Linked DNA regions of Struthio camelus. The protein of the gene in region 1 purifies or fractionates together with the protein of each later gene. This does not show direct contact. Links are inferred from orthologs where the notes say so. Each region holds a gene or a part of one and is shown in the gene's direction. Other genes may lie near its edges.

Region 1 (7,327 bases):
ATCGTGTGCCACGCAGTCTTTTTGCCTGGGCAGCCAAAGTAGAGTCTTAGCCTTTTCTGACTGTACTTGGCTCCAGGCTCTGAGCTTTCACTGCTGGCAAGGGAGCGGTGCTCTTGACAGCTAGGTTCTGCTCAAATGAGAAGGATGGATGAGACTAATTGGCAAGGCAAGCTCTAGCTCTGATGTGGTCCTTTCCCTCTGAGCTTGTTTCTGTCTCGGAGTGACAGCTCCGAGTCTCGCAGCCTGGATGCTGTCCCTGCGGGAGGCACACGTGGCTGTACTGCTTAACAGGGAGGGTGCCAGCTTCTCTTACCTCCTTGTGTACCGCATCGCTGCCTGTCGACAAGGGTGGACATGATGCTGTTTCATCACACGTGGCTATCTTTCCACTCGGATTAACCCCTGTTCTCTACTTTCCTGCAGACATGGCTAACCTGTCTCTTCATGATCATGATGGCTCCAGCGGTGCCTCCGATCAGGACACTTTGGCTCCGCTCCCACACCCGGGAGCCGCACCCTGGCCTATGGCTTTCCCATATCAGTATCCACCACCTCATCCATACAACCCCCACCCCGGCTTCCCTGACCCAGGCTACAGCTATGGAGGGGGCAGTGCAGGCAGCCAGCACAGTGAAGGTGAGTGAAAGGGACCCACATGTGCCTGTAGAGCTGAGCAGGTGCCCTGTTCACTTGGGGGAAGCTGCGGGAACAGGCTAGTCCCTTAGGCAAGGCTGTATGCATGGGGGAGCCAGATCAAAGCCTTCATTCAGAGGAATCCCACAGGGGTTATGGGATTAGAGTTGAACGGAGAGTGAGACCATGGACTGTGCAGTCTGGTAGCTGTGCTGCAGTGTGTTGTAGTCCTGTCTTGGTGGGGAGCAGAGGATTCTTTCTTCCTGGTTTATCTGATGTGTTGCCTAACCTTGCCCCGTGTGTTTTGCAGGGAGCCGGAGCAGTGGTTCCAATCGCAGCGGCAGCGAGAGGAGGAAGGAGAGAGAGAAGACTGGAGAGTCCAAGTCAGGTGGCAGCGGGAGCGAGTCGGACCACACCACCCGGAGCAGCATGCGGCGTGAGCGTGCGGCCAGTGAGCGCTCGGTGCCTGCCAGCCAGCACAGCCAGCGCAGCCAGCACTCCCTGGCTCACAGTATCCGCAGCCACCACAGCCAGCAGTCATATGGGCCGCCTGGCCTCCCCCCTCTCTTCAGCCCCCCCATGTTGCTGATGCCTCCACCGCCTTCAGCCATGGGGCCCCCCGGGGCACCGCCGGGCCGTGACCTGGCCTCTGTGCCCCCAGAACTGACAGCCAGTAGACAGTCCTTCCGAATGGCCATGGGCAACCCCAGTGAGTTCTTTGTGGATGTAATGTGAAGCGCCCGTCCCCTGTCTGTCTGCTGCCCCTCCTTCCCCCTTCCATCCCCAGTCGTTTGTCTCCTAGGACCAGCCCCAGCTTCACCCCTTGTTTTTATGGGTCTTTTTTTTTTTTTTTGGTCTTGATAACTAAAAGAAAAAAAAGGGAAAAAAATAAATGGAACTAAACCTTGATTCTAATCCCTCCTCGAGCGGGGTGGAGGGGCCTGGCAGGCCTGCTGAGCTCTGCCAGCCCATCCTGCCACCAGACTTGTGTATTGCCGATGGTAATTCCCTCCTGCCGTCCTCTCTAACCCCATTAATCTGCATCCATCCCAGCGCCCTGTGCTGCTTGCCCGTGTGTTGCTGCTGCCGCAGTCCTTCTGCCCTAAACATCTCTTCTTTCTTTTCACCCTTTTGTGTTTCTTCTATCAAGCAGCAAAGAATTACGGGGTGTTTGACTTTCTCTGAGCCTGCCGCCCGCAGGGGGGAGAGCTGGAGCGTGGCGTGGCCCGACAGGAGGACACGGAGCTCCAAGGGCGCTGGGCACGCATGGTGCTGAAGATGTCTTCTTTTCTCCCCCTAGCGGAAGACTCCCTGCCCTTTCCGCAGCACTGAGAGGGGAGCAGCGCCCAGCTCTGGCCTTATATGTGTTTAAATCCAAGTGTAATTGCCTTTTGGCTAATGCATGAATGTTCCAGGGCTTCACTGCCTCTAGGGAGTGGAGGGATGGTGCCACTTTCCCTTAGCCTCCCTCCCCTTGCCGCTCCTTGGGCCAAATCTGAGCCTGGCGCTACCCTATGGCAGAACCCTCCTGCCTGCTTCCCTGACAGCGAGACTTGAGATTGGGTCCGTTCCTCCGGCATCCGACCCTGACTGGCGCTGGGTACCTAAACATGTCCGGTCGAGGCCTGGGGGGGTGTGTGGTGTGCACGGGTGTGAATGTAAGGGCAGAGCTCTGCTTGCTCTGCCAAAGGGGGTGCAGAGGCCCAGGCGTTGCCCTCCTGCCTAGCACACCCTGCTGCCTGTCTCCTGTGTAGGGGCTGCCCCTCGCCTGGGGCCAGTGTCTGCAGCTGGGGCCTTCCCCCTCCTGCTCTGCTGCGCTTCCCTTCAGCAATGTAACATCTCCCACAGTCAATGCTGATGTGTGGGTGGCCTGGACAGAGCTAGAGGGTGAGGGAGGGGCACTTCTGGTCCGCTTTCATTCTTTTGGGGAAAGCGGAGATCTCCTGTGTTCGCTGGCCAGCCGCACCCTCTGCTCCCCCGGGATGAGCTCTGCTGGCCTGTCGAGGGGAGGGAAGGGGCTCTGGGCCCAGAAAGCTGCAGAGCTGGGCCTGCCCCGCTCCAGCCTAGATGCAAATGGCTCCCTAAAGAGACGCAAACCCTCCTGTGAATTAAGGACTGTGGTGTTGAATGCAGGGCCCTGGGCTCAGTGCCCACAGAGGATTGCGATGGCAATTGAGTCCGTTTGCTCTGATGCTCCCTTCTGTTTTTTCCTCCTCTTTGGGGTGTGTGGAGCCTTTCTTCCACTCTACAAGAGTGGTGTGGGAAGGAGATGTGCCTTGGGTTAGGGGGTGGGGGGCGGCCTCCTCCTCAGAGCCTGGGGCTGAGCACGGTACGGTAGGGATGCATTGGACCCTGCTCCCGTTGGTCTTGGCGCCCTCTCATATTGCTGACCATGGCTTTCTCTGCAACAGTGTTGCCTCCTTCAGCCTTTCTTTCTTATGTTTGAATTTTTTATATTTTGGAGATGAAATGTATTTTGCTCCTCTGGGGTCTGCGTTGTGCCTGCACCCCCTCTGCCAGCTCCTGTGTGCCACCAGTTCATCTCCCTATGACTCCCTAAGCCTCTCCTCTTCCTGTGCCTGCTGGTGCCAATTTGCCCAGTCTCTGCCATCTTCCTGTCCCCTGATCTTGGTGCTGGCAAGCTGCTGCTTGTCCCTTCTCCTGCCTTTCGTAATGCCACCCAGCAGCCTCCCCTGACCACTGCTCACTGCCCTGCCCTGCCCTGCCCTGCCCTGCCCTCTGGGTTTTATAAAAACAAAACCAGTCTCCTTGTTTTTATTTATAAACATAGTTTTATTGGACTCCTGCCTCGTGTTGTTTTTTTTTCAGCACCCTCTTCTTTTCTATGCTCCTGTGTTTTGCTCGGCAGCAAGCTCTGGGCATCGAGGGGCTGTCCTGGGCCTGAGCCTCTCTGTTTTCTAACAGAGCTATTCTTCCTGGGCTATTGAGACCTGCCATGACTTAACCTCGGCCTGTCCCAGCCTCCTCCTGCTGCTGCTTTCTGGTGCAAGAGCTGATTGATCACAGCATTAGAAGATGAAAAATTATTCATTGGGCCTGTAAGGCAAAGATATTTGCGGTGCATGCGTTGGGGGGTGGGGGGATGACTGGGGCCTGGGCAGCTCTGGAAGTGGGCTCTGCCTGGCTGCCCGTGGCACGATGAGATGAGGGGGAGAGGGTGGCAGAGGGCGAGCTGCCCCAGGAGCACCTGCACATATGGCCTGTGAGGGGGGATGGCGCGGGTGGGTGATGGGAAAGCAGCAGTGCCTGTGGCTGGGCACGGCAGCTGGGGGCCTGGCCGAGTGCACCCACCTTTCCCCACGGGCTGTGTCCCACGGGTATCCCCAGCCCCCTGCGGATCAGGGAATTGAGGGCTGCTGGGGACAGTGGGCTGAGGGCCCTGCTCGCACGGACCATGCCGAGGGGCAGGGGATGCCCCGTGCTTCGAGCCCCCCCCCCGGGCCGGGGGGGCTGCTGCTGGGCCTGCGCAACTCCACGCGTGGGTGTGTCAGCTCTGCTACCTCCCGGAACTACAACTCCCAGCTCGCACCGCGCCATAGGACTACAACTCCCAGCGCGCGCCGCGCCGCAGGACCACAACTCCCAGCATACTCAGCGGCCCCCCCCACCCCCCCCGCGCGCCGAGCGACTCGGCGGGATGCGGAGCACAGTCCCCGCCCTGCCTCCCCGCGGAGGCGCATGCGCAACTGCGGCGGGGCGCGGGCGGGGCATGCGCGGCGGCGGCTCTGCAGTGATAGGGGGGGCGCGGAGGGAAGGGGGGGGTGGCGGCCGCCATCTTGGGTAGTGAGCAGCGAGCGGCGAGCGGGCGGCGGCAGGTGAGGCGCCGCCGCGCGGTCCTTCTTCCTCCACGCCGGAGGTGCGTGTCCCGCTTCTCCCGCGGGGCGGCTTCCCGGGGCGGTGGGGCTCGTCTCTTCCTCGGGGCCGAGCCGCCCTGGGTGGTGGTTCCCTCAGTACCCGCCGGGGGCGGGGGTCTGCGGGCCTCCCCCGGCGGGCGCGGCGTGGCACTGACAGGCCTAGGGGGGTCTTGTCAGGGCGAGGCCCCCCGACGGCTGCCCTTGGGGGGGGCCGGCAGCGTCTCCGGGCCGCCCCGGGGTCCCGCCTGGAGCCGGCGGGGCGGCGAGGGAGGGAAGCGGGCTCTCCCTGGAGAGCTGCTCCTCAGCCCGCTGCGAGCGGCTGCCGGGCCTCCTCCCGGGGTGGCCCCCAGCCTCGCCGCTGGCTGGAGCTGGCTAGCATCTATTCGCGTGTTGCTTTGGGGGGGAGGTGGTTGTTAGCCGCCTGTGTTAATTAATGCTCTGTCCGGAACACCCGTCGTGGCGGCTTCGTGTCCGCGGTGCTGCTGAAGACCGGGTGAGGGTGGTGGTGGCAGAGGCAAGACCTGAGCGGTGCAGGGTGTTGGGGAAAGGTCTGCACCGCTGTGCTGGGTCACCCCGAGCAAAGGTCTTGCGGTCGGATTAGGCAGGAACTTCCCCTAAAATGACTTATCTGTACTCCTGATATGAACATGAATTAGCTAGGTCGTGGACTGCACCCTCTAGCTTCCTTTCTGGAGAACCTGCTGAGGCAGACTATAGCTCTGCTGATGCTGAACTGTCCTTGTTCTGAGGTTTGAAATGGGCCCTTATCCCACAGCTCTTCTAAATGCATTTCCACTTCCTTTCTTCCATGGTCTAGGTTTTTGGAGTCTGTAAGGCTACAGGAAATGCAGCCTTTGTACAATGTAGTTGACTTCTCACTAGGAAATGAGTCTTGTTTGATCTGGTCTTCTCTCTATAAACTGTAAATTTTGAAGTTCTGGTTTTTTTCCTTGCTTTAGGATGACAAAGCTGCTGTCAACTTCTAGCCTCAGGCTGCCAAAAATCTGAGCCTGGAGCTTTCCCAGATAGGTGAGCCTGGATGGCTTCTGCTGTGGCTCAGAAGTTGAGATATTATGGATTTCTAATTGAATATAGGTTCCTGTAGTGGTGTTTTGTTAGGTAGTGTTCTCTTGAATGCTGTGAGGACCATAGTTACTATTCTGTTCAGTAGCAAATGACAGACTTGTCCCCGTCAGTTTTGCTTGCAGGGACAGTATCTCATCTGGTGAGATGCTGCCAAACTGCCTACTTCCATATTTTTTCTGTCAGAAGGAAAGCATTGCTTTTGTTGGGAACGCCATGTTACTGACATCTAGTGACAAGGATACCTGGTGTTCTTTGGGTTGCAAGCTTGCCATCTTTGTCTCCAAGAAGAGAACCTGTTTCCGATACCCTTGAAGGGTATCATGACTAAATTCTCCCTTTCAAGAGAGCACATTTCCAGCCTTCTAAGAATTGAGTCTTGAGGCTGTGAAGGGTTGAATCTTGAATTCTTTGAAACACAGATGACTGGAAGTGCGCTCTGCTGATTGGATGAGTTTCTAATCTTTTTGATGGGATGGGAATAGTCACTGAACAAAACATGCTTTATATAAAAATTTCTTGTGACCCTACTTAAACTTAGCTTTAGGTCTTCTTGATGCAGGGATGAGACAAAACTTTCTTGTGCAACACAAAGTGTCTTGCATTAGTGTTCTAAGCTTATACTACTGAAGACTGCTAGTGCGTGTTAAAAATGTTCTTGGGGTTAGCTGAAGGACAGACAGAAGTACAGCCCAGGGTGCCAAAATGTAATAGGTCTGTATAGTACAGCCTGCTTCTTTCCTTTAGTAGATGACTAGAGTCACAGAATGGCCGAGGTTGGGAGGGACCTTGGGAGATCATCTAGTCCAACCCCCTTGCTCAAGCAGGGTCCTCTAGAGCACGTCGCACAGGATTGCGTCCAGGCGGGTTTTGAATATCTCCAGAGAAGGAGACCCCCCACAACCTCTCTGGGCGACCTGTTCCAGTGCTCAGTCACCCTCACAGGAAAGAAGTTTGTCCTCAGATTCAGATGGAACCTGCTGTGTTCCAGTTTGTGCCCGTTGCCTCTTGTCCTGTCACGGGCACCCCTGGAAAGGGTTTGGCCCCATCTTCTTCACACCCTCCCTTTAGATACTTGTACACATTGATGAGCTCCCCCCTCAGTTTTCTCTTCTCCAGGCTGAGCAGGCCCAGCTCTCTCAGCCTTTCCTCATAGGAAAGGTGCTCCAGTCTTCTAGTCATTTTCGTAGCCCTCTGCTGGACTCTCTCCAGTAGCGCCATGTCTAGTACTGGGGGGCCCGGAATTGGACACAGTACTCCGGGTGCGGCCTCACCAAGGCTGAGTAGAGGGGGAGGATCACCTCCCTCGACCTGCTGGCAACGCTCTTCCTAAACGCGGCCCAGGATGCCATCGGCCCTCCTGGCCACAAGGACACATTGCTGGCTCACAGTCCACTTGTTGTCCACCAGGACTCCCAGGTCCTTCTCTGCAGAGCTGCTTTTCAGCAGAGTCAAAAATTACTGGCAAGCCACGCTTTATTTTGATCTCAGCAGGAGGTTGGCAGCTTAGCTGAAAGCTTGCAGCCTGAGGCACGGGATATGAAATGCAGTTATCTGTTCCAAAGTCATAGCAGAAAGAGATATACTGGCAAGTTGGGGTATCTAGGCCGTTAGTGGTCTGCAGAATACAAGCTCTTATTCAAACCGCAGTCCGTGTCTCTAACCTTTTCTGTTGAAGACGAATAGAATGCAAGTCACTGTTCAGAGCTGTAGCTCAAGAGTGAGCAGTTCGGCAG
Region 2 (7,791 bases), on another chromosome or scaffold:
ACAAGAAGGTGATCAGGAGTAGTCAGCATGGATTCACCCAAGGGAAATGATGCTTGACCAATCTGATAGCCTTCTAGGATGGAATGACTGGCTGGGTAGATGAGGGCAGAGCAGTGGATGTTGTCTCCCTGGACTTGAGCAAGGCTTTGGACACTGTCTCCCACCACATCCACCTAGGTAAGCTCAGGAAGTGTGGGCTAGATGAGTGGACAGTGAGGTGGATGGAGAACTGGCTGGATGGCTGAGCTCAGAGGGTTGCGGTCAGTGGCACAGAATCAAGTTGGAGGCCTGTAGCTAGTGGTGTCCCCCAGGGGTCAGTCCTGGGTCCAGTCTTGTTCAATATATTCCTCAATGACCTGGAGGAAGGGACAGAGTGCACCCTCAGCAAGTTGGCTGATGATACTAAACTGGGGGGAGAGGCTAACACACCAGAAGACCGTGCTGCCATTCAGAGGGAGCTGGACAGGCTGGAGAGGTGGGCAGAGAGGAACCTCCTGGAGTTCAACAAAGGCAAGTGCAAGGTCCTGCCCCTAGGGAGGAAGAACCCCAGGCAGCAGGACAGGCTGGGGGTTGACCTGCTGGAAAGTAGCTCTGCAGAGAAGGACCTGGGAGTCCTGGTGGACAACAAGTTAAACATGAGCCAGCAGTGTGCCCTTGTGGCCAAGAAGGCCAATGGTCTCCTGGGGTGCATTAGGCAGAGTGTTGCCAGCAGGTGGAGGGAGGTGATCCTGCCCCTCTCCTCAGCCCTGGGGAGGCCTCACCTGGAGTACTGTGTCCAGTTCTGGGCTCCCCAGGACAAGAGAGACATGGCACTCCTGGAGAGAGTCCAGCGGAGGGCTACCAAGATGATTAGAGGGCTGGAGCACCTCTCCTAGGAAGAAAGACTGAGAGAGCTGGGCCTGTTTCGCCTGGAGAAGAGAAGATTGAGAGGGGATCTCATCAACGTGTACAAGTATCTGCAGGGGGAGTGTCAAGAGGATGAGGCCAGCCTCTTCTCCGTGGTGCCCAGCAACAGGACAAGAGGCAACGGGCAGAAACTGAACCACAGGAAGTTCCATCTGAACCTGAGAAAAAACTTCTTCACTGTGAGGGTGACTGAGCATTGGCACAGGTTGCCCAGAGAGGTAGTGGAGTCTCCTTCGCTGGAGAAATTCAAAACCCGTCTGGATGTGATCCTGGGCAATATGCTCTAGGTGACCTTGCTTGAGCAGGGAGGTTGGACTAGATGATCTCCAGAGGTCCCTTCCAACCTAAAGGATTCTGTGATTCTGTTTGTTAGTACAAACCTGCACCAGTTACTAGTTACACTCATAGATAATTGCTCTTCAATAAATGTGATCAGGTATACTTACAAAAACCTCCCACCCTCAAGAGAATGCAGGCTGCTTCCAGAACAGTTTGGCAAGAATTGAGAATTCCACTTCCATTTTGTATTTTTACTACTTTTTCTGCAGTTCTCCAAAGCTTTACAGACCCTTTGAGACTCCCTGTTCATTTCTGAGCAGGTGGAGCCACTAGATAGCTGTCATCTTTCCCAGATGCTGAAAGTTCCCTGTGTATTTGTCAAGCTCATCTTCCTAAACAAATGTCCAAAACATTCCCTATAAAGCTTAGCCATAGCTAGCATAACTGCATCGCCAGAGAGCATGCTGTGGTGCTTTAGTGGCCAATCTTTACTATATTCTTTTTTTTCATTGTCTCTAGTATGTACTTAGTTTCATAGAGACTCACTGGCTGCTGCTGCAGTAACTCCAGGAATCAGCAAGGTTGCTCTGTATTGATATTCCTCAGTTTCTCTTCTTTAGAAAATCCCCTGGATAACCCAAAACCATTCTCGTGCACTGCTTGGTAAGTTCAGGTAGGCACAAGCCTTTTGCACATCAAGCAGGAAACAAGCTTGGCAAAACGGGTATATACATAGATCACAGAATGAAAAAGCAGCTCTTCAAAATAAAAGATCAGTACTGGAGGATGATTTGAGTCAGAATTTTTACCAGGGCATTTTCAGTGAAAGAGTCATTGTCTGAAATAGTGTTTGGATTGTTCTATGTAAACGCTTGTTTCAAGATTTTAAGTGATTCATTTTGCAAGGTGGGTTTCCCTTGTGCCTTTTATGCACAGAAGGAATATGTGCCATATGTTGTATCCATCCATTAAGATAGGCTTCATGCACATTACTGGACAATGCATTATTTTTTCTGAAACACAATCAAACCAAAGTAAAAGCTCAAATGATTCTTCTGCATGGATTATTATCAGGCTACCCACAGATCACAGAAGGATTGAGGTTGGAAGGGACCTTTAGAGATCATCTAGTCCAACCCCCCTGCTCAAGCAGGGTCACCTAGAGCACATTGCCCAGATTGTGTCCACACACTTTTGAATATCTCCAGGGATGGAGGCTCCACAACCTCTCTGGGCAACCTGTTCCAAGTGCTCAGTCACCCTCAGAGTAAAAAAGTGGTTCAGACGGAACTTCCTGTGGTTCAGTTTGTGCCAGTTGCCTCTTGTCCTGTCACTGGGCACCACTGAGAAGAGTCTGGCCCCATCCTCTTGACACCCTCCCTTCAGATACTTATACACATTGATCAGATTCCCCCTCAGTCTTGTCTTCTCCAGGCTAAACAGTCCCAGCTCTGTCAGCCTCTCCTCATGTGAGGAAAGTGTAATTCTGTGCTGTTCAATATGCTTTCTTTAAGCAACTCTGTTGCCTTCTCCTCCAAGGTTTGCCTCTCGTTAACCTCTTTTAGCTTCAGTACAGCATCAGAACCGTGCTGTCTTTTACCTTTTCTTTTATTCTGACAATCTGGCAAGCAACATAACCCTGCCATACTGTAAGCAGGGAGGCAGAGCTTTCTTTTACGTTGTGGCACCTACCTGCATTAAGTATTGGCTCCACACATTCCCATTTGCTCTTGTCCAGGCTGCCTGAAGGGTTTCAAATCTCATTGCCCAGGAAGATAGACAGATTATCTGCCTGCTCCAGTGTGCAGCCTGGCAGGGAGCAGCTTGCTTCACTCAAGTGGGGGCCTCTGCTCCCTGGAGCATCAAGATCTGCCACAGAAATCCTGTGTGCCAGCCCCTCCCTCCTGCTGTAAGGAGGCAGAACAAGCTGGCAGAGGGAAAGTTGTGTATTTGCATAATTCCATAGTAAACCAGGTCTTTTCAGGTACTCAGCTCACACCAGTCATACTTCCTTTGTGTGTATCTATTCATACAGCTGCCCACATCATTTTTTTTTTCTGAAAAATTTGGCCAGTTACATTTAGATAGGCTAGTTAAATTGTAAGTATTTTGTTTTGTTAGTTTTAATGACTCAATGACTTTAATGACTCAAGACTTCCTTTTCTGGGCTTCGCTTACCAGATCTATGGAACTAGTAGCACAAACTCCCTTTGTTTCAAATATTTTCTGTAGTGGGCACTGTCAGAGACATACTGCTGGGCTAGTTGGACCTTAGGCCTGACAGAAGGACTGCTTGTTTAGAATGCTATGGCTGAGGTTTATTACCACCCAGTTCCACTTACCCCTGGAATGAAAATGATAACAAATCTCCAAACACAGTTTCAGCTCTCACTGCATTAACTAACACTATACCATACCAGAAAAAAAATAATTCCCCAAACTCAGCGCCATTTCATTCACTTTGTTTCACCCTCAGCAATAAACTATGCTTATTCAGTGTTCCATGGATTGCTTAAATTACTTCCTAGCACAATTAGCCCATATTATGTCTGTCCCAGGCTGGGTGGACAAACGTAACTTTGTTCATAACTTGCCTTACCCCTTTTTTCCCCAGTCTTCAGGGTCAACATTCTCTAGAGTCCGCCACAAGCAACTGTACAGCGGTAGACTTCAGCACCAGCTTCCACTGGGAAGTTAGTGACTATTACAAAATAGCAGTCTAAATGCTACTAATATTTATCCTATTATATTTAATAAATAAATTAGTATTTATATACTTAGGTTAGCCAAATTTCTGGGAAGTCATACCTCTGAAATTAACCTTAAGCACACTTAACATGCACTTTCACCAGTTTTAGCTGGAAAACTTACAGTGGTTTGTGTTGCACTTTCTCTTTGGTTTGCTGTTTTACCAAGGGCCTCTTAGTCGCAGAACCACAGAGTACACAAAAAACCTTTTTCCTCTAAAATCCAACTTCCTGACCTAGGGCTGCAGAGAAGAAAAACATGAAAGAAAGAAGGCAAAGCACCCAAAACAGTACTCAGAACATTCAGAGAACTAAAAGACCTCCAAATACATGAAAGCACACAACCGAACTGCATGTTTTGACTGCTGCTGCCTGAGCAGCAGCTTTCCAGCACATGACACAACACTGTGAGCTTCTGCTTGGTGTCACTTTGGTTTGGAAGTGCTCAGTTGGTCCTGCCCTGGGCATGGGGCATGTGGGAAGCAGCTCTCACACTTCCTGGGGTGGCTCTGTTCCTGGAGAAGCTGGGCTGGCCGCTCATACACACATGCTCCGTGGGGTGAGCCCAAGAAGGCCCAGGAGGGCCATGCATCCTGCCCCGGGCCATGCCCTCAGCCAGAGCCATTAGCACCCGGGCCAGCGCAAGCGGCCCCTGCAGCCAGGGCAGCCACGCCAGCACGCGGTACGGCTTCCGGTGGCCGCCTGCTCCATTCTGCCCATTTCCAACATGGCTGCTTTTCCGCGCCACTCTAGTATCCGAGAGAAAGGGAAGTCGCCAGTATTCGGGATGGCGCTCGACACGACTTCATCAGCCCGAATCAAGTATGGCCGCGCGAAACCCTGTGGCAACTGCCAGGATCCAAGATGGCACCCATCCGTATTGCTTTGTCAGGAACGGTTTCGATATGGCCACCTCCCCTCCCCTACTCCAGCGTTTTGCTGCCACGATCCATGATGCCTTCCGCCACGCCTTTAGCGCGGCCTGATTGCAATATGGCCACACGCGCGCGCCCTTGGCAACGTCTGCCCTCAGTAAACATGGCGGTCGGAAGCGCCCCCGGCTATTAGGCTCCCCACCCGCCGTTACCTGCTGAGGTAGTTGGGGTTAATATCTGAGATGGCGGCGGCTGAGCTGGAGTATGAGTCTGTTCTGTGTGTGAAGCCTGATGTCAACGTGTACCGCATCCCGCCGCGCACCTCCAACCGCGGATACAGGTAAGGGGGGTCTGTGCTGTGCCAGGGAGCCGGGGCCGAGGTTGAGGCCGGGCGATCTGTGTTTGGGCAGGGGGCTGTGCGCTGTGCCGCGCCCCGCCGCGCTCCGCGCCGCTCCGCCGTGGCGTCATGGGGAGCACGGCTGCGCTCCGGGGCTCCCTGAGGCGGCACTGGCTGCAGGGCCGCCCTTCAGCCCCTTTCTGCGCTGCCTGAGGAGCTGGAGGGCGGCCCTGGAGCAGGTAGGCGCCTCGCTGAGGTGGGGAGAGGTGTCCTCTCCGGGGGCCGGTGGCTGGAGTAGGTGCCAGTGCCTGTGCGGCAGCGGCCCGCTTGCGCCGCGGGATGCCAGCGCCTCTTGACGGTGCCAGAACTGGGGTGGGAGAAGCGTTGCTGAGGGAAGGTGCGGGCTCCTTGTGCTCTCGCAGAGTGAAAAGGTAGTGCAGTCATGCACTGAGTTGCTATCGTTCGTTTTTGTCTTGTAACCGGGGTCTGAGCTGTGGCCTTGGGCCTCTCGGTTTTGCTTTGTGATGCCCATGCCCTGCATTGTGCTGGGCTTGCAGCCTGGATCAAGGGAGAAGTAAATTTGTAAAAATGACCTCTTCTTATTTCACGAATCTGTTCTTGTGTGTGCTCTGAGTCATACCATAGCTGCTTTCTCTGGTGGTAGATGTATTTCTTTCTCTCCCTCCCTCCCTCCCCCCACCCCACGTTGTCCCTGCAGAGCTGGTACTGCTCTGGCAGAGTGTGCTGGCTCAGGCGCTCCTGCAGAATTGCCCAGAGTCAGCACAGTCTGTTCTGTGTGAATAAACAGAGGCTTGAGAGGCGGAGGCTTCTATGTGCTAATACCTGCTGAACTGTCTGCACTCTCTTTGGCATTAAGCAAGTCAAGTAGGCTTTCTGAAGCCTTACGCACTTGCAGTTTCACAAACTTCAGCTGCAGATGATGTACTTGATGTTTCTGATAAACCTGTATCAAGTCTGATGTATATTCTCTGTGCCTAAAACCAAGAGTGTTCTCCTCTGTGCTGTAGGGGAATGGGGAGTCTCCTTAGTTAATCTCACACAGGACATGAAGATGTAAATCACTTGCTGTGCTTTTTCTAGTCAGAAATAACTTCTGCCCTCAATTATATTTGCTCTGCTCCCCGAGGCACAAACGTGATGTGGTATAACAAAAAGTTAAATTTGGCCCACTGGCTTTTGGAGCAGTGGGGGTGGAAGCCAGAAAAAGCTGATTGTGACTCTGGCGGGGCTAGAAGTTAGTTAGAAATACCTTCTCTGTCTTTAGCCAAAACCAGCAGAACATGACTTTGTGAGCTACTTCCACAGAGTTCTTGGAGTGACTGGTTTATGCTCTGAAACACTAATGGTGTCAGGAGCACTTGCTTTGTCTTGCTGAACTGTTGCTGCTGTCGATGGTATTCCTGGCCACAAATGTTCAGTTCTGAGTGTAGAATGCTGTAGGATTGACTCTTTCCTCCCCTTCCCCCAACGTTTTGTAGCAAAGAGTTTGATGGGCCAAATAAGATTGTGTGTATGCTTGTGTGTGTGGTGCCTTACATAGAGTAAACAAGCTGCCTCTAGTTTTAGAAGTACTCATTATTTTACCCCATTGTTGTAAAAAGTATCAAGTGTCTTTTCAGCATGCTGTAAATTTTTTAGGCCTTCCTGATGCTCACTAGTTGCTTATTAGTCCTTTTTAGGTTTACTATCCCAACTGAGTTCTAGGGTTTCAGTCTCTCCTCTTCTGCAAGTTTATAAAAGTAAAGACAGGGAGTTGATGTTCTCTGGACTGTATCTATTTTCCTTTACCCGAAGGAAAGAAAGGCCATCCTGAGCCTCGTATGTAGACTGGTAGTGACAGAGAGGAGCTGAGACCCTCAGTGAGGAGTTAACCCCACAATGGAGAGGAGCAGACTCCCGAACTTAGTGGGAAGAGAGAGAAGCGGAATGAGGCAACTTCATGTGATGAAGGTTTGGGAGCAGGGGCTTTAGCTGAGCTGGTTGGGCAGAAATGTAAATATTGAGGAACTGTCAGTGAAGAGTTGCTCTTTTTTTCAGGGCTTCTGACTGGAAACTGGACCATCCGGATTGGACAGGGCGACTTCGTGTGACCTCCAAAGGCAAAACCGCATACATAAAACTAGAGGATAAGGTTTCAGGTAAGGGAAGGGGTGTGGCTTGTCAACACTATAACTGTGGTTGCTACTTAGGAGCCTGTGCTTCTAAGCCAGCTCAGAGCTGTGCGTGGCAGCCCCAATCATCTTTTAGAAAGAGGTTGCTCTTGTTAACGCCTGATTCTTTGCCTATAGGGGAGCTTTTTGCTCAGGCTCCCATAGACCAATACCCTGGCATTGCAGTGGAGACGGTGACAGATTCCAGCCGCTATTTTGTCATTCGGATTCAGAATGGAACTGGTGAGTCAAGGAGTCATGCATGGCCCAAGTGCTGGGGGTGGAAGAGAGTTAACCTGCTGAAGCTGAGTGTAGGCCAGGTGGATTGAGATGATGTTGGGAGTGCTGAAAAGGTTGGATAATGTGCCTGGAGGGGTAGGAAGGCAAGATCAGCAGAGGAGGCTTCTCTACATTGCACAGAGTCCAGAGGCTGAGAAGGAGGATTCAGTTTTGGAGAGTGCCACGTGGGATGAAGG
Region 3 (6,257 bases), on another chromosome or scaffold:
ACATTAACTTCTTAGGACGTATAGCCTTAATGAGGTCAACCGAGACGCCAGCTCGAGCTCCTGTTTGTCATACTGTAGGAAACAACGTTTACACTGTAGCAACAATGTCACAATGTTGTTTGCTACAATTATATTCTTACACAAGGCCTAACTTACTCAGAAAGCTTTTTCCAGAGATGACCAACCTTGAAAGCAAAACAGTTTTATAGACACCGAGGTGGCGGCGGGGTTGGTCATGTTATTTAGGTTAGTGATTACACTTCAAATATACCACCTTCATAATAAACAGGAAGATTGATCAGGATACTTTTTACTGTGATTCAACAGACCCAGGGTAGGTCCAAAAAAACTCATCTGCTTTATAAAAAATAAAATAATCAGAAGTCAAACATGTGAAGTGATGTTTACAGGTTCGTATGTTAAAGAACGAAAGAAGAAGATTCAACCAGCTGCCGTGAAAAGTTTCTTTCTTCAAACCCCAGTGCTTTCTCCTCTAGGAACTGCATTGCCACTAAGAGCAGTTTTATAAAAATAGCCAGCTAGACTCCATTTGCTGCTTCTGCCACTGGCCACAACCCTACCCTGAAATTGTCACTATGCCCTCCTGCCTTTGCCAAGTGCCTGGGACGCTTGTCCTTCCCTTCTCGGTCATGCCCAGGTTCACCTCTTCTCCTCCTTGCTCACCCCACGGTCACGGTCCCACCAAGACCCTCCACTCCTCCTCTGCATCCCACTCGCTGCTTCTTTCATGCTCCTCTAACCTCAGCCTCTCTCCTACCCTGCCTTGTCTCAAATCGTTCATTAGAGCCGTCTCCTCTCCCAAACTCATTTTTTCCTCCTGTGATTCCACAGGGATTCATAAATTCCTCCACACTACCTGCAAGCATGAGTTAAGCACGTTTTTGGAGAAAACTGTTTACTTCCTGCCCTACAACTCCACATGTAGTTAAATTCCATTTCAGGAATTTGGGTCCCAATATTAATTTCTAGGATCTAAATGAAGACATATCTATGCCCTTTCCAACCCGTTTTCCGTGCAGTCTTCCTAACAGGAGGCACCAATACACTTCCTGTAAGCCAGCAGGCCTTAGTGTCCTTCAGCTTCAAAGATCATCTAGGGAGCAGTCTGCAGATGGGGGGGGGGGAGGGGGACAGTAAAAACAACATCCAACAGTTTTCATTAAATGAACTATATATTAAGTTTTGCAAAACACGTTCTGCGATTTCTCACTTCAGCCTCTGGCGACAGAGATCTAGGCTATAAAACACAGGAGCGTTGACGAGAGAGATTGCGTTAGAGAACTGAAGAGGGCATCGGCTGCAGGAGGCAATAAGCCTCACAGCTGAGGTGAGCCAGGCACTTTTCCACCCTGCACCACAAACCACAGAGAAGTAGAGCTGACATTCAAGGTGGATCAAAGGAAGCGCTTTCACATAGTAGAGAAATTAAGCTTGAATCGTTTAAGTCACAGAAGCTCTCGCTAAAGCCAAGACCTGGTGGGATAAGAGGAGAACTATCTTTTACAGGGATTCTCACAGATCCTGAGCTACTCGTACGTCCCTGCAGTGAACCCTGCTGAGCACGCTTCTCCCCGTGCACCTGCACGCACACACGGAGCTGCCTTTCCTTCCGAACAGCTCTCACAGCAGTTAAAGGTCCAAGGTCCTCCTGCGACGAACTGAGCCTGCCCAGCTGCAACTGCCCCCCAAAGCCCCCGCGAACTACGGCAACATACCTGCAGGGAGGCTGAGCAGCTCCATCAAAATAAGCACAGGTTTCTTACAGGGTGGGAAACAAGATTTTTCTAGAATAAGCAAAACCAAAGAAACCATGCTCACACATGTTCTGTCAATTGGGCGTTCCCTCTCTCACCGTAAATCAGGAACCTTTGGCTGATTCTTCTCCCATTCTGAGCAGGGAGAAGAGAGGGCAACGCATCGAGCACGCGCACCACGCACAGACACGCGGGGGCTCGGGCACAGAAGGCACGGGCTTCTGCTTGAGCCACCGCTTGCTTTCACCGAGGCGCTTATTGCCTCTTCACGTCTCCAAAGCCTATCAGATCTTCTCATTTCATTCTGACTCTGGCAGACAGCAACCGCACGATAGTCGCGCTCTCCCTTCCAGTGGTTTCACATGCATCTGCCCAGCAGGGAACGCAGAGACGTTCAGGTTGAAACCCTGCAGGTCCTGGCGCTAGTTGCCAGCGGTAAGAACGTTTTTAAAAGGAGGTTACACCTCACCTACCGTGGCAGAGTCTGTCCTCTGAAGTGCCTGATGCTGACCACGGCTGGAAAACACAGGGCGCAGCCATGAGTTGTTTCTGTACCACTGAGCGCAGGGAAGTCAAATCAAAAGTGCTCAAAACAATTTGCTATGATCTCACAGAAACGCACAAAGCCCTCCATCTACTGTGCACGGTATCACAAGGCCAGGTCCAGGCTTTCTGGGTAAGCAGTGCCACAGCAACCATGCTGTGACCACCAACTGGCTCTGTCAATTGCTGTCAACCGCACTTCTGCGGTCAGACGCAGCACCTAACCGCCAGCAGAAGCCCCCCAGCCTGCGAGCAGGGAAACAGCCGTGGATGTCTTCCAACGCTTCCCTTGTTCCTCATCAGTGCTGGCACCCAGCAAAAGGAACACAGCAATTTGCCCAGGACATTTCACTGCTAAGGAAAAGGACAACTAGATTTTAAGACAGCTCTATGTTCTTCAAATACAGCACTTACAAAGAGCATCTCCCAAATTTCTGGCTGTCATGTTGCCTGAAGCCGCAGATACAACCTTCAAACTGTCCCAGCTTGCACCTCGCAAGAGTCTACAGATACAGCATACAGTTGCCTAGAACAACTAGAAAAATCATTCAATAATTTTCCACAAGAACACCTTCCAAACCTGTTGTGGTCACTGGAGCAAAAGGGGGGTGGTGGGGGGAAAGGAAGAAAAACAGTAGTTAGAGATCTCTGACTGAAAAAAACCTTTTTTTTTTTTTTTTTTAAGCTGTTCTGCCTATTCACTTTAGACCATTTTCAAGCCTTAGAATTAACTACCAAAACATTTCAAGATAGGAGGCTATCAACAAGCTTCAGGTACTGTCGACAGACCACGATCTTAGAACATACACTCCTGGACTCTCTTCTTTGGGCGCACTGGGCTGGCTCGCTCTTCTACCCCTAGAAGGGGACACTTCAGTCATTTCTAAAAGCTATTCCCGTTAGCCCTGCTGCAGGGAACTCAGTCAGCTCCCGGAGCAGGAGAGAGAAACCCCGCAGGAAGCAGCCGGGATTTTCCCGGGCTGCGCCTTTGTCGCCCCCAGAATCACCGCACCACCCCAAGCAGAGGAGCCTTCTGCCTCTGCAGAAGTTGCGCAGGAGAGCAAATCCCTACCGTGCGGTTGCCTCGGTCCTCCGTCCCCCAAAAGGTGCCAGCCACAAGGCTTAGTAACACTTAAAATAGCCCAGCCAGCTCACAGCAGGCCACACAGACGGTTCTATTTCAAGCACACCCAACCTGCTGCTCGAGATAGCATGAGAACAACGCGATTTCTTCGCTCGTGCTTGACATTTGCCTGATGCTTTGGCTATTTATGCCAAGGCAGGACGAAACTGCAAGCTTGCACGTTCAGCAGCTCGGGCGCTCGCGATGTAGAATTGCGGCGGCGGGACAAGCAGACCGGGCCGGAGGAGCCGCGGAAGCTGGTTCGCGCGGGCGGGTCCCGTTTCGGGCCCCGGGCACCCCGGAGCCTCGAGCGGCAGCTGGTGCGGCCTCCTCCTCGCCCGAAGGCCGGCTCGGGTCCGGCCCCCGCGGACCGGCCCCTCCGTCCCGGCCGCCGCAGCGGGCAGAGCCGCGCCCCGCCGGGCGCCCGCCACGGGCCCCTCCAGCCCCGGGGGGCGCCGGGGGGGGGCACCTCGCCGCCCGCCCGCGCTGCGCCCCAGGGGGCTGGAAACCCCCCGCGGGGCAGCTCAGCCCGCCGGGGCGCCGCGCCGACATGTCCCCGGGCCGGGCGGGCGCCGCCGCCGCCGCCTCAGGGCCGCGGAGGAGGAGGAGGAGGAGGAGGAGGAGGAGGAAGAGGAGGAGGAGGAGGAGGAGGCCGCCGCCGCCGCCCGCCCGCCCGGCGCGGAGCCCCCGCCGCCCCGGAGCCCGGTACCTGGCGGCGGGAAGGCGGCTCGGCAGCCCGCTCCAACCGCCGCGCCCGCCCGCCGCACCCTGGGACTTGTAGTGCGGAGCCGCCCCAACCGCCGCCCGCCCCGCCCCGGCCCGCCCCGCCCCGGCCCGGCCCGGCCCTCGCCGGCCGCCGCCCCGCGTCCTTCCCCCACCCCTCCCGGGGCGCCGTGAGCCTCCTGGCGGCCCCGGCCCGCGGGGTCCTGCTGCGCCGCGCTGCCGCCGCGGAAACGGGCGGCGGCCGACATGGCGGCGGCGGCGGGACTACAACCCCCACAATGCCCCGCGGCGGGGCGGGGCTTCCGGGGGGCGGGGCCTCGCTGGCGGATGGCGCTGGCGCGCAGCATGGGGCCGGAGCGGGTCTGCCCCGAGGAGCCGGGGCCGCCCGAGGCCCCCGACGGCGCGGCCGGCTGGAGCGGCGACGACGAGGACGACGAGGACGAGCAGGAGCAGGAGCAGGAGGAGGAGGAGGAGGAGGAGGAGGGCGGCGGCGGCGGCGGCTACTTGTACCAGCCGCTGAGGCAGGACGCGGAGCAGGGCCCCGGCGAGCAGGGCCCGGCCGCCGCCCCGGCCGCCTGCGCCGAGCCGGGCCCCGGCCCCGCTCCGGGCCTCCGGGAGCGGCTGCAGGTAACGGCGCGGAGGGCGCGGGGCCGCGCGGGCCGCGGCGGCGCCGGGGCCGCGGCCTCCCCGCTGTCTCCCTCCGCGCTGCAGATGCTGAGGCTGCACCTGCCCGACCCCCCCGCGGACAGCGGCGACGAGGAGGAGGAGGAGGAGGAGGAAGGCGCCGCGGCGCGGAGCAGCCGCAGCTCCATCCCCATGGACCCAGGTAGCGGCGGCGCCCCCCGGCCCCCTTGGCGGCGGGGCCCGGCCGCCCGGCTCCCCCCCTCACGCCCCTCTGTCCCCAGAGCACGTGGAGCTGGTGAAGAGGACCATGGCCAGCGTGAAGCTGCCCAGCCTGGGCGTCCCCGCGTGGGCCAGCGAGATCTCCGAGGAGCAGTGGAAGGACGTGGTGCAGCGCACGCTGCAGGCCCGGCAGAGCCTCGGCACCCCCAGGCCCGAGTGGAAGTGACGCCCGAGCCGGGGGCTGGGGCTGCTCGCCTGCGCCCTCCCCTCGGTCACGCGTGCGAGGCGGGCGACCGGTGCGACGCGCCGGCACTGACCTTCCCCTTGCTCCCACTGCCGTTGTCCAACCTCCCTTCCTGCTCCTCTTTCCAGGTTCTGGCTGGCGTGTGAGTCGCTGTGGTGTCCTTGTGTTGGCTTCCTGGTCCTCCACCTCGGAGGAACTAGACTGGTTTCCCTACCGGCCTACGTGCGTGGAGAGAGGGGGTTCGACTGGCTTCACCCAGGTTGATGCGGGACAAACACCGGCTTTGCCCTCGTGCTGTCAGTGCTGGAGAAGTCCCCCGCGCTCAGGCCCCTCCTAGCAGGATAAGCAGCTGTGTTTTCACGTAGCAGAGGTGGAGTCCAGTGTGTCTTTCCAAGAGATTGGTTTTATTTACTTCTGTACATACAGGGACATCTGTACAAAAATCCAACACTTTCATACTATGTAATGCTCTACTGAAAATAAAGTACACCATATGTACATATGAACTGTAAGCAGCTTAATACTTGTGTCCAGGGGGTGAATGCAGTAGTTTTGCTTGTTCCCTCAGGAGGAGGGAGCCGTGTGACGTGGAAGAGGCAGCTCCAGTTCTGTCCGTTTGGCTGATGTGGGGAAAGGCATAGGCAGAAATGAGCACTAATGCTAGAAACCGAGTGTGGAGCAAGGGACAGCCATAGCGTAGCAGACACAGGTCTGCACACGAGCAGTACGTGTGACAGAGAGGGTTAACACGCTCCCCCTCCTTCTCTCATGGTCCCCTTCTTAGATGTCCAGGACACTGGAATGAATAGGCAGCAAACTAACGGTAATGTTAAGGTACTAAGCGTAAGTTCCCTGACCCAGAACAATACACACAAAGCTATGAGAACATCCAAGCTGTACAGCATGTAGTTGTGATGCATTACAATCCTGCCCCTGTGCATGGCACAATCTCACCATTATTCCTCTGGATGTGGCAGGGGACTGCAGGTGGAGACAGACCATCTGA
Region 4 (7,605 bases), on another chromosome or scaffold:
TTTTTTTCTCCTTCCCTTGCCTCATAGGACAAGTTGCTGTACTCCATATTTTGGATGTCAAAGGTGTTTTTAAAAAAACTGTTGACTTGTTTTGTGTTATGGTGGTTGTAAAATGCTGTAGATCACTGGAGAAGTTCTCTCCATGCATATTGCTCAATGTATAATATATGCAAAAAGCCTTAAATAGAAACTTGCTAGATTGCTATTTCTGAAGTGTTTTTAAAAATGTTAAGGTTTGATTAAAAATGTACAAAAGAAGTTTATATCTCAAACACAAACATGCATTTTGCACTGGTACTTTTTTTTAATACTGCTTCAGTACAGAAAGGTTAGAATGAATGCCTTCTTTTTTTTTTGTGGTATTTGTATCTCAGATTTTATTGAGATGCCTATTCAGTTACTGGATTTTATTAACCACAGTTTCATGTAATCACATGTTTTGTTTGAATTAATATAGTTCTGTAGATTGTTTCAGTCTATGTACACACGTGAGAGAATAAGAACTAAAATTCATCTCTCCCCCCCTCCCACCCCCCACCTTAGACTTATGGTATCCGTGAGTTCTCTAGGTCGGATAGAGTCAAGCGAAGCTATTTTGCTTGTCCTTGGAAGCAAAAGATACAGTGGAGAGAGCAAAGGTTAAGACTAATCTCTCTCTCACACTTTTTTTCTTTCCTGTATCCCAGCTGTGCATATGATCTGGAATAAATAGAGCAAAACTGGGATAAAGGTATAATTTATTATTGCCTTAAACATGTGGAGTCTCCTTCCCTGGAGATATTCAAAACCCGCCTGGATGTGATTCTGGGCAATGTGCTCTAGCGGACCCTGCTTGAGCAGGGGGGTTGGACTAGATGATCTCCAGAGGTCCCTTCCAACCTCAACCATTCTGTGATTCTCTGATTCCATGATTCCTCTTCCTGACTCCACCTCGTTCCCTCAGGACCAGAGAGGAAAGAGCAGGAGGAGTTCACAAGAGTGAGTCACAAGGCTTCTGGAAGTATTGTAGCTTATATTCATGATGATGCTGAACACTGAACACTGTCCCTGTATGGGACGTGTATATATGGGTAAAACTTCAGTAAATTTACAGAAAAATCTGATTATCCTGGGACATAACCTAACTATTATAAACGATCTTTGTGTTACAGGTTGATCCATAGCTTGGGTCTTTGTCTTGCATGGCTGCGAAACTGTTAAATTTTTTTTTGGTAAGCTTTGCTCAGTTTTAAATGCTTCATTTTTACTGGAACCTAACAGCAGAATTTGCTTCTTTTCCTAGATCCCTGATTATGCAAAATATTGAATGAAACTAGTTGCATTAATCTCAGCCCAGAAAAGACTTTGTAAAAGCTGATTGGCAAGAGAGAAATCTTCATTCGAGTAGGATCATTGATATTGAATGTGCCTCAGTGAGGTTTTCAGTGTCACTGGCAGTCTTGCTTCCGTCCTCTGCTCATCAGTTCCTGACGAAACGGATAGATCTCTAGAAAATGTTACTATTTTTAGCTCCTAAAAAGTTTCTGTTCTTTCTCTCTGTTACTGGACATGCTGCCATCATCCATGTTTTAACCTGTAGGTTGCACTCTTCTGATGTATTCTCTTTATTGTCACCCACAAAAGTCACTTGGAATTTGATTTATTTAAAGACAAGATATTTTTATTTGCAAAAAGCAGTTTGGTCAACACAAGCTGTTTTTCACAAATATACATTCTCACTTTTGTCTGCTTAAAAATTCTCTTTATTCGGTGTCTCGTTGTTGTCCTCTTTAGAATTTGAGAGTTAAGTGTGGAGATCTTGTTTTGTTAACAGTTCACTATTGCAGGGACTCAGTTAGATCACCCCAATAGAAATGATATTCCATTACTAAAGTTAGGCCACTCTTGACTCATCTTTCCTACTACTCCTTTAAGAAGCTTTTTAATATCAGATATGTAGAATTTAATCTGGAAAGGCCTTTGAAGGCTTTATAGATGATAGATGCTGATGACCAGCTGATCTTCAGTTGTTTTAAATGTTACTAAGATAAACTGAAAAGTATGTTTCGAGAGATGCAGTATTCTGTCTTCATAACTTTGTGAGGCTCTGTCATTTAAAAAATTAGTTTGGGAAGAGGGTACTTCAGTTAATTCTCCTGAACGTAGATTGCCTTCCTTCTCTGCTGCTATTATCTTTTCTCCCTCACTGAAAGTTATTAGTTCTCAGATAATCTGCTGGAAAAACAGAAACCTTAGTTTGCTTTCCTTCAGTGAAATTGTGAACGTAAGCTTTTGGCTTTCAGAGTAGCTATTAACAGCTTGTATTTTGCAAATCAAAGGAGACCTTGGACTGTTTTTTGAAGTTGAAAAAAAGAGATGATTAGAGACAATATGACAATATTTTTATTGACTTGAAGACACTACTTTCAATTGGGGGTGGGGAGGGAAGAAGATTGTTCTTTTAAGCATGCAAAATAACCTGGTTTAGTATGCAGTAGGTCAGTAAATTTAGGTGTTCACTCCCAAACCATATTGTATATTTTAAGAGTATTAAAATAGCAAGCACGAGTTAATTGTAAGTTAAAAAGTTCAATGTTTCTAAAATTAGATTGTCCTTTGGGTGTGAAAGTAATTAAATGGCACACTTGTAGTGTGAGTAATTTTTTTTTTTTTTTAATGTCTTCTACTAACATACATGGTTCAGAATGCTATCAAGGTCAATATAATATTGATTTAATTGTGCTAGCTCTCTTTTTAATGTAAGCTGTGGCATACTGGCTTTTAACACTTTTTGCCTATAGAAATGTGACCATTTAAAAATGTAACATACAAGATTGAAGATGTCAACTTGCTTATGGAAATAGTTTATATGTATTTTATTTATAGGTAAGATATCTAGAATAATAATTGGAGTAGATTCAGATGTTCTTAACTCTTCACACTTATTTCACTGTGAAAATTCAGAAGTTCTGTAATTTTTAAATGTATTTCGATCATGAATTGCAAGGATCAAAAATGGACAAGTTTCAGATATGTGAAATTAAACTAAACTGAGCATTATGTAACTAGACTTGTTGCTATGTAATGCTAATTCAAAGTAAAGTCTGGAACTCTTAATGTTTGCTTGCTGTATAAACTTACTGGCTCTGAAAAAGTGCTCATTTCTACTTAACATATGGACTCCGCTAGACTACCATTATCTAACTAACGTACGTGTGTGTGTATATACAAAGATAGCGTGAAAAACATGTTTACACTTTGTAAGTCTACTTTGCTTATAGACTTAAGATGTGATTATTTTTTTTCATAATAATGTTTAGTTATGCAAGTGAACAAGAGTGTCAATTCCTTAGGGTGTTTTTCACAAATAAAAAAAACTAAAAATTCTCTATGGATTGTGGTTGCTGTGTTCCTTTGCACGCAGTAGGATGGTGCAGTAGATGCGCCTGGAGGATGTCCTGGTTTTTATTTAAATTAATTGTACTTTTATTGCGACCAGGAAGGACGTTTAGAGGTACTCATATGAACGTATCATTTCTTTTTAATAAATTGTTGAAGTGCCAGAATAATGCAGTGTAGGGTACCAACCATTGCTTTTTCTTAATTAAGACCAAAAGTATGAAATTATAAAACAACCGGACTCTATATATATATATAGTGATGAATGAGGTACATTCATGAAGATGTGTGTTACTCACATGCTGTAAATCGGAGCATTTGGGAAAGCTGAACCTTACCAGAAGTTTCACAGTGAAACCGAAGCTTGTGCTGCGTTCTGCCAGGCCAGCGACCCTAAGCTCAGGCAGTCTTAGGCTACGTAATATAGGGTTTTTGTAAGTGCAAAAGTGTTATCTGCAGGAAGTGTCAGTAGTTGTTTTTTTTTTTTTTTTTAAAAGAATGTATTATGTTGCAGTGAAGCTATTGCAGACATTATTTTAAAATAGAGGTGATGTGAGCTTTTCCTTTCACTGGGCCTCCAAAGATGGGAATTCAGTTTGTCTATTAATATCCAAGCCATTTAATATACCCTTTAAGTCTTTCTCTCTGCCTGGATGAATATGTGAAACTTGAGTGAGAGTGTTTTGTGGAAGAGTTATAAAATTCTTCAACTTGTTCACCATTGACAAATTATGCTCCTATCAGCTGCTAAAGGACGTTAGCAGAAGTACCTCCACGCTGCGCAGGATGAACAAGAAGCCCTCCCTCTGTTCATGTAACGCTGAAGCATTTCCAGCAACTCTGACAGGATTCATTTACATAATACACCCACAAACCAGCACTGTTTAAGTAGATTCAAGCTGAAATATGTATTCAGCAAGTTGTAGGACTTTATTTTATTCAAATTATACTTGATGTAATTCTTCTTTCAGGCTGAGGGTCTGTTGGTGTCTACTAGTTGCAACAAAACATGGGTTTGGTCATTAATGACTAGCTTTTAATAGTCAACTGATTACTTTTAAGAGAGATTTTACTTTCATTTCATTTTCAGAAGACTTCTGTGGGGAGTTTCTTGTCTTCAAGGAGTTAAGCAAGGATTGTTTTGCTGCTCCGGCCAGTGCCATATGAAAGCAGTTAAAATGCTGGAATTGTTTACCGCCTAAATTGTTGTTAGTCAGCAGAGCCAGTACACCAGATTTCTTTGTGGCTTTTAGTGGAAAATATTAAACAGTCGCTCTTTCTTCAGTTATAGAATTTTTACGTTTTGAGATGAATTAGTCACGGAACTGGCACAAACATTGCCTCTGCAGAGACTGCCCAAAGGGCGCTTTTTTGTTTCTTTTTTTTTCTTTTTCCCTGGAGGAAGTTGCATTGCGCGCGGTAGCTCAGTTCTCGGGTAAGTGTGACATGTGAGCATTACTAGGCGTTTCATCCTGCGAGCCTGCAGTCTGTGCGCTGTCGGCTCCTGCTCAGTTGGAAAGCTGCTGTGGCTGTGGCTTGTGCTCCGCTCCTCCGGTCTCCTAATGACCGATTCAGACAGGCTTTTTTTCTTCTTCTTCTTAAGCTTTGCAAGACTTATCTGCTGATCACATCATTTAATCTGTCAAGGAAAAATTGATAAGCGGAACCTTTAACTGAAGAGGAGAATCAGGTTGGCACAGTGACAGATGTTTGAATAAAGAAGTTGGCTCAGAGAAGATGCACGGAGTCTGATTTTTTTTTTTTTCCTCCTTCCTTTTTTTTTTCCTCTTTCCCTCCTTCCTCTCCCCCTCAATCTGAATGAAGACTATCATGGGAACTGTATTCACATGGTGATCAAAAGAAACACTTGAGTGATGAACTGCTTTTGCAGAAGTCGTCTCAGGCAGTAATCTGAGCTTTTGTGCCGTGGTAGCTAGCTTGTTTTGCTGAAGCGTTCGTTCTGCCTAACGCAGTCCCTGATGGAGAAGCCACAGCTCTTGCCTGCTGAAGGAGAACCGAACACTCTGCGTTGCTTGTGTCACTGATGGAGTAAAGCTGTCTTCGTGGCTGTCATTTGGGGAATCTGGATTAAACAGGCAATGTTATTCAAGGAGTTCCATTGTCCCTGTGGTCTGACTCATCGCATGTAAATGTGCTGCAGCCGTGCTGTACATTGCAGATATTTTTATTGCATGGGAAAGAATTATCATCCTCTGACCATGTTCTGAATAAGTGCTGAGAAGCAGATGCGTTTTTCAGATGGACTGTTTTTGACATTGACAACTGAAGCTGTAGAATTACAGGGTGACTAGAACCGGTGTTATTTTCAGTCACCAGCAAGGCGGCTGCTGTTCATTTGTCAGTGACCTTGCAGGCTCGGGTCTAGCTGCGGCCGTCCCCGTCAGGGCAATTGTTCCCTGCTGCAGGCTGCACAGGCTGGTGTCACGCCGCCCGCAACAATGGCTGCACTGTGCGCCTAACGCTGCGCCGCTCAAGTGGCGGCATTAGCAAAGACAAATTTGCTGGTGAAAGGACAGCTATTTGAGGCGGTGCATTCTGTTCCGATTGAATTGGATCTGGAGATATTTTTATCAGCTTGTTCCACAGTTTCACTGTTGCGGTCTTGATGCGGAGTGAAATTTTATTTAAAAAAAAAAAAAAGAACAACTTTTTTTTTTTAACCATTGTCATGAACGTCTCAGGGTGTTTAAATCTGAACAATGAAGTGCAAGGACGGACTGGAGTGTTCTTTTTTAAATGTTAATACACCGGCAGTAGCACTTGCAAGTTTGTGAGGGTACGTGAAAGAGGTGAAAGTATTTCCTGTATGCTCCGTGTTGTGCTACCGACAGTGGGCTTCCAGAAATATAGTTGCCGGCATTTTTTCGTTTGCTTTTCCTTCCTCAAACGGATCGAATGAGTCGAGTCTGTATTGTTGTTTTGGAGGAGGTGGAAGATGATTCTCCCACGTTTATTTCCAAAATACCTCAGGAAAATATATCTTTACGCCCGTCGCCCTCTGGAAACGCGCTGGTAAGGCATGTCGTCTGTTGGCATATTTCCTGTTCATGCTGCGGTTGCAAGTGCCACTAGTAATTGTCATAAGGCTGACATGAATACGCCTGATGTTGAAACCAGAGGGGAGAGGGTAAAAACTGCCCACGCTGAACAGTGGGGGAAAAGTTGAAGCTTAGTTGTAGAATTAATATTTGCAGGGGCTCCTTCCTTTGCATGTGACTTTACTTGTGGTGCAGCAATAACAAATCTCAACTCCTGCATAGTAGCAAACGATTTCTAGAGGGCCTGGTAAAACTGTGGCTGAAGTAAATGTTTCTCCCCTCACTTCTCTCCCCGTTCCTCAATGGTGTATTTGTGCAGTACCAGTTTAGAAACTGAGGTAATCGTTATATCGCCATCATTTGTTGTGTTTATTTTGAGAACTGATACAGTAGATTGTGTACATGAAGCAACAGCAGTTATAAGCTAAAATGAAAAAAGGGCAGAGGTCATCATATAGACCTAACTTAGATTCAGGTTGTTGCTTCCTAGACACGGTCGACACTGTGGGTGCAGCGCCTTTAATTTCTTTAAATGATTTTACTTTGTCAAGTGCCTGACTAAAATCGTGCGAGCGTATCTCAGCAGCTTTTCTTACTTACTAAGAAATCCTACTATATTTAGTAATACGTGTGTGTGAGTGTGAATTTGTTACCATACTTATCTGATATCAGCACTTTGCTTTCTTACTCTGTAACCAAACAGGTGAAAATTTCTAATAACTTTAGTCACTTGCTAACGTAAAAGGGATTTGTTTACATATATTTTATAGAATCCACAGTACGTGTTAACAAGCTCACTTTATTTTAAGCCTTAATTGTATTATAAGGATTTCTCTTTTCAGCCCTTATAGCTAGCGTTCCAGCCTTTCTGTGGTTGGGGCAATGACCTGAGTATGTTGGTGTGTTGGAGGTTTTTAAAACTTGGAAATCTTTCAGTTCGGTTGTTTCTCATTTTTCATTTCACTGCCTGGGATGTTCTCTTTTGTCCTTGTTTGGTGTTTGTGTGTTATGTATCCAAAAACCATGCATGTGTCGACACAAAGTAAAATGGAATTATACTCTAAGATGTGTTCCTTTTTTTTTTTTCTTCTTCCTTTCAGCCACCTTTGGTTCAAGCTATATTTAATGGAGATCCTGATGAAGTTCGAGCACTAATATTTAAGAAAGA

What was found. Proteins that work in one complex are often made in the same cells at the same time.
Region 2: the proteins of AP2M1 (region 1) and NECAP1 purify together in Homo sapiens (affinity purification with mass spectrometry; 3 studies listed by BioGRID and IntAct, counting the BioPlex papers as one, with this or other methods). This does not show direct contact. The link is inferred for Struthio camelus from reciprocal best matches to the Homo sapiens genes AP2M1 and NECAP1.
Region 3: the proteins of AP2M1 (region 1) and MEA1 purify together in Homo sapiens (affinity purification with mass spectrometry; 3 studies listed by BioGRID and IntAct, counting the BioPlex papers as one, with this or other methods). This does not show direct contact. The link is inferred for Struthio camelus from reciprocal best matches to the Homo sapiens genes AP2M1 and MEA1.
Region 4: the proteins of AP2M1 (region 1) and ANKRD28 purify together in Homo sapiens (affinity purification with mass spectrometry; 3 studies listed by BioGRID and IntAct, counting the BioPlex papers as one, with this or other methods). This does not show direct contact. The link is inferred for Struthio camelus from reciprocal best matches to the Homo sapiens genes AP2M1 and ANKRD28.

The regions. Positions count from the first base shown.
Region 1 is NC_090950.1:22,546,477-22,553,803, forward strand, and holds the start of AP2M1 (AP-2 complex subunit mu), read left to right. Parts: upstream 1-4,325; 5' UTR 4,326-4,469; exon of another isoform or gene 4,470-4,510; intron 4,511-7,327. Other genes in the region: DVL3 (segment polarity protein dishevelled homolog DVL-3), read left to right, coding at 424-636, 944-1,368.
Region 2 is NC_090942.1:88,542,164-88,549,954, reverse strand, and holds the start of NECAP1 (adaptin ear-binding coat-associated protein 1), read left to right. Parts: upstream 1-4,791; 5' UTR 4,792-5,049; coding exon 5,050-5,147; intron 5,148-7,202; coding exon 7,203-7,303; intron 7,304-7,453; coding exon 7,454-7,558; intron 7,559-7,791. UniProt on the Homo sapiens protein: Involved in endocytosis.
Region 3 is NC_090944.1:147,959,870-147,966,126, reverse strand, and holds MEA1 (male-enhanced antigen 1), read left to right. Parts: upstream 1-4,457; 5' UTR 4,458-4,491; coding exon 4,492-4,791; intron 4,792-4,875; coding exon 4,876-4,990; intron 4,991-5,069; coding exon 5,070-5,233; 3' UTR 5,234-5,757; downstream 5,758-6,257. UniProt on the Homo sapiens protein: May play an important role in spermatogenesis and/or testis development.
Region 4 is NC_090943.1:40,772,254-40,779,858, reverse strand, and holds the start of ANKRD28 (serine/threonine-protein phosphatase 6 regulatory ankyrin repeat subunit A), read left to right. Parts: upstream 1-4,605; 5' UTR 4,606-6,294; coding exon 6,295-6,411; intron 6,412-7,537; coding exon 7,538-7,605. UniProt on the Homo sapiens protein: Regulatory subunit of protein phosphatase 6 (PP6) that may be involved in the recognition of phosphoprotein substrates. Involved in the PP6-mediated dephosphorylation of NFKBIE opposing its degradation in response to TNF-alpha.